2 linked regions of the Pelodiscus sinensis genome follow. The main gene of each other region encodes a partner of the protein of the gene in region 2 in a complex. Links are inferred from orthologs where the notes say so. Each region holds a gene or a part of one and is shown on either strand. Other genes may lie near its edges.

The links.
Region 1: the proteins of DNTTIP1 (region 2) and MIDEAS are in contact, whole or in part, in a cryo-EM structure (PDB 6Z2J), measured with the Homo sapiens proteins. The link is inferred for Pelodiscus sinensis from reciprocal best matches to the Homo sapiens genes DNTTIP1 and MIDEAS. Residues at the interface, in NP_443183.1 of Homo sapiens: Pro63, Ser66, Leu69, Leu70, Ala72, Val73, Leu74, Pro76, Ser77; in NP_001036783.1 of Homo sapiens: Gln768, Asp771, Leu772, Thr774, Ala775, Ser778, Ser779, Ile802, Leu803, Leu806.

The regions. Positions count from the first base shown.
Region 1 is NC_134714.1:67,325,708-67,329,452, forward strand, and holds the start of MIDEAS (mitotic deacetylase-associated SANT domain protein), read left to right. Parts: upstream 1-1,207; 5' UTR 1,208-1,537; intron 1,538-1,872; exon of another isoform or gene 1,873-1,892; intron 1,893-3,745.
Region 2 is NC_134728.1:13,059-16,803, forward strand, and holds the start of DNTTIP1 (deoxynucleotidyltransferase terminal-interacting protein 1), read right to left. Parts: upstream 2,327-3,745; 5' UTR 2,312-2,326; coding exon 2,117-2,311; intron 1,804-2,116; coding exon 1,733-1,803; intron 855-1,732; coding exon 758-854; intron 262-757; coding exon 163-261; intron 1-162. Other genes in the region: uncharacterized protein LOC102461217, read left to right, coding at 3,331-3,349. UniProt on the Homo sapiens protein: Increases DNTT terminal deoxynucleotidyltransferase activity (in vitro). Also acts as a transcriptional regulator, binding to the consensus sequence 5'-GNTGCATG-3' following an AT-tract.

The sequences.
Region 1 (3,745 bases), on a different chromosome or scaffold from region 2:
ATCAGAGATGAGAAAAATCCCCAGGTTTGATCAATTCTGTATTAATCTTTGTGTGGTAGATAGATCCAACCTGGAGGTGGGGAGAAGTAAATGCGAGTGGGGTTAAATAGCAAGTGATCAAAAGTGAAACAGAAAAAAGAATATACAGGAAGGTTTTCATAAAATGTTGCCATCTTCATTCTGAATTGACTTGTTAGTATATTTTTCTTTATGACCCTCTGGGTTTTTCTTCTGATCATTTTAACTCTGTCCAAAACATTGCTTTATATATTTATTCAAGTGTTGCTTGTTGTCAATAACTATTTACTCTTATGCCGTCTACACGGGGAGTGATGATGGAACAAAAATTTTACTTTCTAATGTAAAGTGGAGCAGGGTGAGTGAGTGGAGCAGGTGCAAGCATGCACCTTTTTTCTCTGCCCCGAGAGACTGAAAGTTCCCCCAGCACTTAATGTGAACTATTTCAGAGGTGGGGAACTTTTTTTGGGTCAGGGGCCGCTGACCCACAGGAAAATCAGTCTGGGGCGGCACACAATTGAGAAGGAGAAAGATGGTCCCCTCGCTTTCCTCCCACATCAAAGCCTGGGGGGGGCAGGGGGCAGCCTAGTAGATTTTGTGTGCTCCAGCCCAGTAGTTGGGGTGTTGGAGCACTAGTGCAGACTCCTCAATGCTGGGGGGAGGCCCACAGCCTCCGGGGCCAGATCCAGACAAGCCAGGGGCCGCATCTGGCTCCTCGGCCTGAGGTTCCCCCAGAAAACAAACAGAGGTACATATTCCACTGGGTGAGAGAACAATTTTCTGTAGCAAAAGGAAAATTCTTTTAGAAAGTTTCAAGATGTTTGGTGAAACATCCAGCATTTACTGAAAAGACCTGAAGATTTGTCAAAAACCCTGAACTCTGTGGTTCCCCACTTTCAATCCCATTCCTACTGTATTTACTTCAGGAGGGGCTGGGGGAAAGAACAGGGAAATCTATTCTCACTTGCAAGTTGCTCCCTAAAATCCCATTATAATCTTTTCCCATTAAAAAGAAGTAAATAGATCAGCCTGAACGGGGGACGGCTGAGAACTGGACACGTTATATAACCGAGGAGTTTTGCAAGGTATGACATATACAGAGCGGCATTTCTCAGCGAGGTTTTGCTTCGCAAATCAGTGCGGCAGAACTTCCCCTCCCCTCTTTTCTACACACTAGTAACAAATGCTAAGCTCAGAAGGTCAAACGAAGAGCTTTGAGAAGGGCAGCCTGGCAGGATCACGGCTACTGCCACTCAGAACTAACTGCTCAAGGGTTGGAGGAGAGGAACAAGCGGGTCCCGGACTAGAACTCTAAACTGCAGCTTCTGGGAGAGAAGCAGGAGGAGGAGTTGACTTAAAGGGACTATTGGGAGCCTCCTCCACTTACAGTATGAGGAAGTGACGCTTTTAGTGAGCCCCAGGGGGAAAGGAACAAAGTTTTTGTTTGTTAATTGTTTCATCTGCGTCCCCCCTCCTCGGAGTAGCAGAGCTGGGAACGGAGCTGCCTTTAGCTTCCAAGGTGAGCAAACGAATTCCACTCCCCACCCTCTTTTCTGCAGCAGTTTTTTGTTTATTGATTTGTTTCCGTGTTTGTGGTATTGCTCTTTTTTAAAATCAGTCGGTTGATCTGTGGTTATTTTTTGGAACAAGATTAAGCTAAAAGAACGTAGAGAGGGAGATCTGCATTTAAGTTTCCGTTTATATGGCCTTGACACCCTACCTCCATATCAGTATTGCCAAATGACAGGAGCAGCTGACTTTGCTCTTTTGGGGGCCCACGCACATGCAGGCTGGAGAATAGCAGCAGACGTGCTGTGACACAAGTACCTTTCTTCATGTGAAACACAGCTTTTGTTTCTTCTGTTTGAAAAACGGTAAACATTAAGTGTATTTAAAATAAATTTAAAAAGAAGACCATGCAAAGCCATTCTCTCTCTCTCTCTCGGGGGGGGGGGGGGGAGCGGGAAGCAAAGCTACATCAATGATCTCTATATGTCTTTTTTATCAACTTAAGAAGCTGTCTCTTGCCTATTTTTTCTCCTGTTAAAATTTCCATCTGATCAGTATCTGGATCTCAGTTCAAGATTTTTGAATGTTCCCTGTTTATTAGTCTTTGCTTGAAATGTGTAAAGTGTGAGAAAAGTGCTCATCTTTAAGTTGCCTGTGCATGTAGGAAGGAAGCTAACTGATTTTTAAAAAATACTGTACTGAATTAAACAAAAGGGAGCTCTTGATTTACAAAGATCATAAACATCCGTTTGATAATTAAACAGTTCTGGGGGATGGGGTTTAAAACATATTAAATTGTTTTTGACAATCTTGCATTCTAAGTTTTGCAATTCTTCATCTGACTGTAACTGTAAAGGACTGATAGTTTGCAGTTTACTAATAAAAGCTGACAATACGCCCACGCACATATGTGAATGTCTTATATAATACACGCCCTTTATTCTAATACACTTTAAACAAAGATTTATTTTTGCTTTATAAAGCCTTGCAAGGTTATAAACCTACAGGAATTTTTCCACGTGGCACTTAATAGATTTATTTGGTATTTGTTTTAAAACAACTAGTTAAAAATGTATAATAGACAGGATAATAACTTGATTAAATCCAGGTTTACTGGTTTGTAAGCAGTGCAAAGGTTCTCTGCATCAAGGCGGTATGCAAATAGTAAAGGGAGGGGAAGACTGAGACATGTCCTAATGCAGAGACTGAGATTAGTTGTTTATAGGGTGATACTGCAGTTCATAGCAGCCACAGCTTTATGACAGTGTATAATTACAATGTGATTGCATAGGAAGGCATTGTTGGAACTAATGTGCATACACAGGCTATTGTGCAAGACTTCTGTGTTGAACAAAAAGAGGATTTGCATTGCAAATAATAAAAAGAGAATTTAGCCATTACTAAGCTGCTAAGTTCCTTTTTGCCTTTTGACCTCAAGTCATGATGATCCCTCCCTGAAATGTTATCAAACTCCTCAGAATTAAAAGGAGGGGAAAATGAATTTGTTTGCATTGCCCTTTTCCCCTAAAAATGGGAGAAGGGATGTTTTGTGAAGGAGACACATGCCACTAGTGGAGTCCTAGATTTGATATACTCCACAAAGAAAATATTTATAATCATGTCTGAATTTGTAAAAGATATCAAAAGTTCATTGAATCTGTGGACCTGTCTTTTGACAGTTCAGTGGATACTAAGCAGTCAGTTCTGCTATTAGCTTGGTGGATTTTGTGTAGACTTCTGCTGTGTAATTATGACTCTGGTAAGGTCCTGTCTTATGTACTGGGTAAGGAAAAACAAGTGCATTAAAATTAAAAAGTGGTTGCAATTCAGCTATTCTCTTGTTTGGTGGTGGGAGAGGCAAAGAAGGTAATTTGCATAAGAACATAAAATAATCATGCAGGGTTAGACCAAAGGTCCATCTAGACCAGTATCTTGTTTTCTGACCATGGCCAGTGTCATGTGCCCCAGAGGAAATGAAAAGAACAGATAATCATCAAGTGATCCATTCTCTATCATTCATTCCCAGCTTCTTGCAGAGGCTAGGTACACCAACAAAGCCCAACTTTGCTAATAGCCATTGACAGACTTATCCTACATGAACGTATCTAGTTATTTTTGAACCCTGCAAGTTGACTATGTGTTGTATGAAGAAATATTTCTTAAATATTTGTTTTAAACCTGCTGCCTATTAACTTAATTTGGTGACCCCTAGTTCTTG
Region 2 (3,745 bases):
TGAATCCAAAAGCCTGTTTCCAGGGACTCTTTGCACTGTGAGGTCCTGGGAAGCCAGCCTGTAATGCTCTGCACCCCCAGGAGACCATGCAGCAGGTATTTCCTTGCAAGGCTGGTCCCAGAGGGCGGTGGCAGCAGGTGTGTGGCGCTGGCACATGCCTACCTGTTCTAGGCAGCTCCGACACGTTTCCTGGATGAGCTGCTCTGGATCCACGTCCTCCCCGACGTTCTCTCTCACGTTACCTGCTGCCTTCTGGAAAAACTGGGAAGGGGCCCAAGGAGAGAGTTAGCATGACGCTGGCTGCTCTCAGCTCTTTCCACAGAAGGCTGCCTCCTTGGGACAAGGCTGTTCTCTGCACAGACAAAAGCAGGGTCTGGCAATTCCAGGGTCCACCTCTGCTCATGCCACAACCTAATACCATCAGGGTCAGCACTGAGAACACGGGACGTAGTCCCATTCGGAAGCTCCATATCCTTTGGGAGAAGACTCCATGCTCTCTGGTCCCTCAGTGCCCTCCAGCAGAACTCACTTTTACAGTTCTGTGGATTTCAGACCAGGAGTCCTGGAGTGGGACCCTTTCAGGGTTAGGCAGAGCAGCCTTCACCTGCCCCTCTTATTCAGTTCACAGGGTTGGGTTGTGTATGTGACTTGGCCTATGGGGCAGGGCTTTCACAGTGGCAGCACCTTCCAGCACAGGCTAGAGGCAGGGGAAGGATGATGTCCGTCCAAGAAATTTCCCTCTTCCTGTGAGCTTTACCTTCATGTATTTATTGAAGACAGTCTGGATCTCCTCATTAATACTAGGCTGCAGAACAGCTCGCAGCAAATCCATGGAGACAGCAGGGTCTGTAAAGCTGAATGAGAGAGAAATGACTCCACCTGGCTTTCCTGCCACACCTAGCACACCACCCAGACAGTCCCCAAAGCCCCACGCGGCAGTGCTCTCCCGAATGCTCTCACCCACGTGAGTGTCCGCCAGAGTTTACAGGCGTCTGCAAAGGACACAACACAGGCTGCAAGCTGATTTCCACTCCAAAGCCAGCAGCGGAATTACCCACTGATTCCAACTCTAAGTCTCCCAGCAGAGGAGAACACAAAGTGCCTCTGGCTCCAAGTGTCAGCCCGAGAGGAGTGTGGTTTGCACGCAAGTGATGTAAACACACAACTGGGTTCAACAAAGAACGAGATCGGTTCCCAGAGCACAGGCCGATCTCTGGCTATTAGCCGAGATGATCCTAACCCTCGTAACTGCCAGAAGCTGGGCCTGGATGACAGGGATGGATCACTCGATACATTGGCCTGTTCTGTTCACTGCCTCGGATACATCTGGCACTGGCCACAAGCTGAAAGCCAGGACACTTGGGCAGACAGATCTTTGGCTTGGCCCAGTATGAGCATTCTGATGAATCCCCCACTTCACCAGGATCAAACAACCTGCCACGGCCCCTAGAACGCCGGATATCTCACAGTGTGGCCTCAACCCCTTAGCAGCTAGGGAGCATTTCCAGCCCCAAAGAATATCAGTTCCGTGGGTAGCGAGCCCCACTATACAGATCGAGCGCCCCACATTGTGGCTGGCCCAGGGAGCGGGTGGCAGAGGCAGGACCAGACTTCACACGGAGCCTTTCTCTGGCCCCGGCATGGCCCTGGCAGGAGCCTTGCCCGCTGGGATCACACAGCGGGTGTCAGAGGAGACTTGTGCTGCTGGGAGCGCGGCCAGGGCAGCTGTTACCTCGTGGCCATCTGGGAGCGTCGCCCGCGCCGCTGCACCTGCCGGTGCTTGATCATGATGTTCCAGGGGCTCTGCGGGAGGAGAGGCAGGGTGAGCTCGCAGGGCTCGCCAGGCAACCCCCCCCGCCTCCCCCGGGGGGCTCGCCAGGCAACCCCCCCCGCCTCCCCCGGGGGGCTCGCCAGGCAACCCCCCCCGCCTCCCCCGGGGGGCTCGCCAGGCAACCCCCCCCGCCTCCCCCGGGGGGCTCGCCAGGCAACCCCCCCCGCCTCCCCCCGGGGGGGGGCTCGCCAGGCAACCCCCCCCGCCACCCCCTGGGGGCTCGCCAGGCAACCCCCCCCCGCCACCCCCCGGGGCTCGCCAGGCGGCCCCTCCGCCCGCGCTCACCGGCTGCCCATCCCCCTCCTCGAGGCCCCCTTCCCCCGGCGCCTGCTGCTCCGGGTCCCGGGCCGCCCCCATCGCGGATCCCGCAGCGCCCCCGGCCCGCCGCACCCGGAAGCAGCCGAACGGGCCTGACGTCATCACGCCTGCGACGCCGCTCCAGGAGGAAGCGCGACGGCTGCTATGGCAACCGGCCGCCATCTTGTTCTGCGAGGGGCGGGGCGGGCTCCTCCCCACGGGCACGCGCCGGGCCGGAGCCGCGCGCTGCCGCCGCGACGTGCCCCCCCCCCCCCCCCCGCCCGAGCCACACCCCGCTGGCCCGCCCCCGGGGGCCGCGCGCTCCCACGTGCCCCTGCGGCTGCCTGAGCCCCGGGCCGCCCCGTGGCCCCAGACCCTGCACGAGGGCCCGGCCCGGCCTCAGCCGCCGTGGGGGGGGCCCGGCCTGGGGGGGGCCCGGCCCGGCCTCAGCCGCCGTGGGGGGGGCCCTGCCGGGGGGGGCCCGGCCCGGCCTCAGCCGCCGTGGGGGGGGCCCTGCCTGGGGGGGCCCGGCCCGGCCTCAGCCGCCGTGGGGGGGGCCCTGCCTGGGGGGGCCCGGCCCGGCCTCAGCCGCCGTGGGGGGGGCCCTGCCTGGGGGCCCCGGCCCGGCCTCAGCCGCCGTGGGGGGGGCCCTGCCTGGGGGGGCCCGGCCCGGCCCTTCCCCCCCCGCTCCGCGCCTGCGTCTTGTCTCAGGCCCCAAGGGGCAGAGCCGCGGGGGGGGGCAATGGCTGCCCCAGCGTGGGAGGAGGGAGGCTGCCCTGGCAGGGCCCTGGGCCGTGGTCCCCAGCGTGGCGCCCGTGGGTGTTTGTGTCCCCGTGGAATGGTGTGGGCGGCCCTGCCCACGGCGTGTGCGGTGCTGGCTCCTGGACCATGGCGCGTGGGCGGCCCCGCCACCCGGCACGTGGCCCGGGCACGGCCGCCCCCCCAGCCCGGCAACCCCCCACTGCCCTAGGGTGACACGCTCCAGTCCAGTCCGTTCCTTCTGGCAGTCTGATGACCTTGGGCCTGTCCCTGTGCTCAGGCGGTGCCGCAGTCAGGGTCCCAGCTAGTGCGTCATGTTGGGGAGCGGGGTTTGATGAAGCGCTCGCTTTCGTTTTCTGCATAGCCAAGCCCACTTGTTTCCATTTACTCGACAGGAAGTTTAGGGGGCACAGGTACTCCTGCGACTGCAAGCTGCCCAGACCATGCAGATCCTGTGCTTGGGTGAGTCCTCCTCATTAGACGTTTATTCACCTGCCTGCGCTTTCTTTCTCTCGTCTTTGGCAGCACCATGCCAAGAGGGTGTAGAGTGAGCTCCCAACAGGCTGTGTGGCCCAGCAAGGGGAGAGACTGACAGTGCATCTGATCAGTACAATGTGAAATAGAATTCCCTGTGAGGACGTGAATTCAGTTGCTTATTTTTATGTTCCAGGAGAATGTTATTACTTGTCTGCGTAGCTGTAACTTGGAAGGGAGTGAAATTTATTCTTAAAACCAAATGAAGTCTTCGCCTCTCCTCTAATAGTGTCCTCTGTTATGACTCTTTTTGCATCCTGTCGGTGCCAATAATACGCTACAGACATGGGGAGACACAGCCTCTGCCCCAAGTGTCTCTGAAAG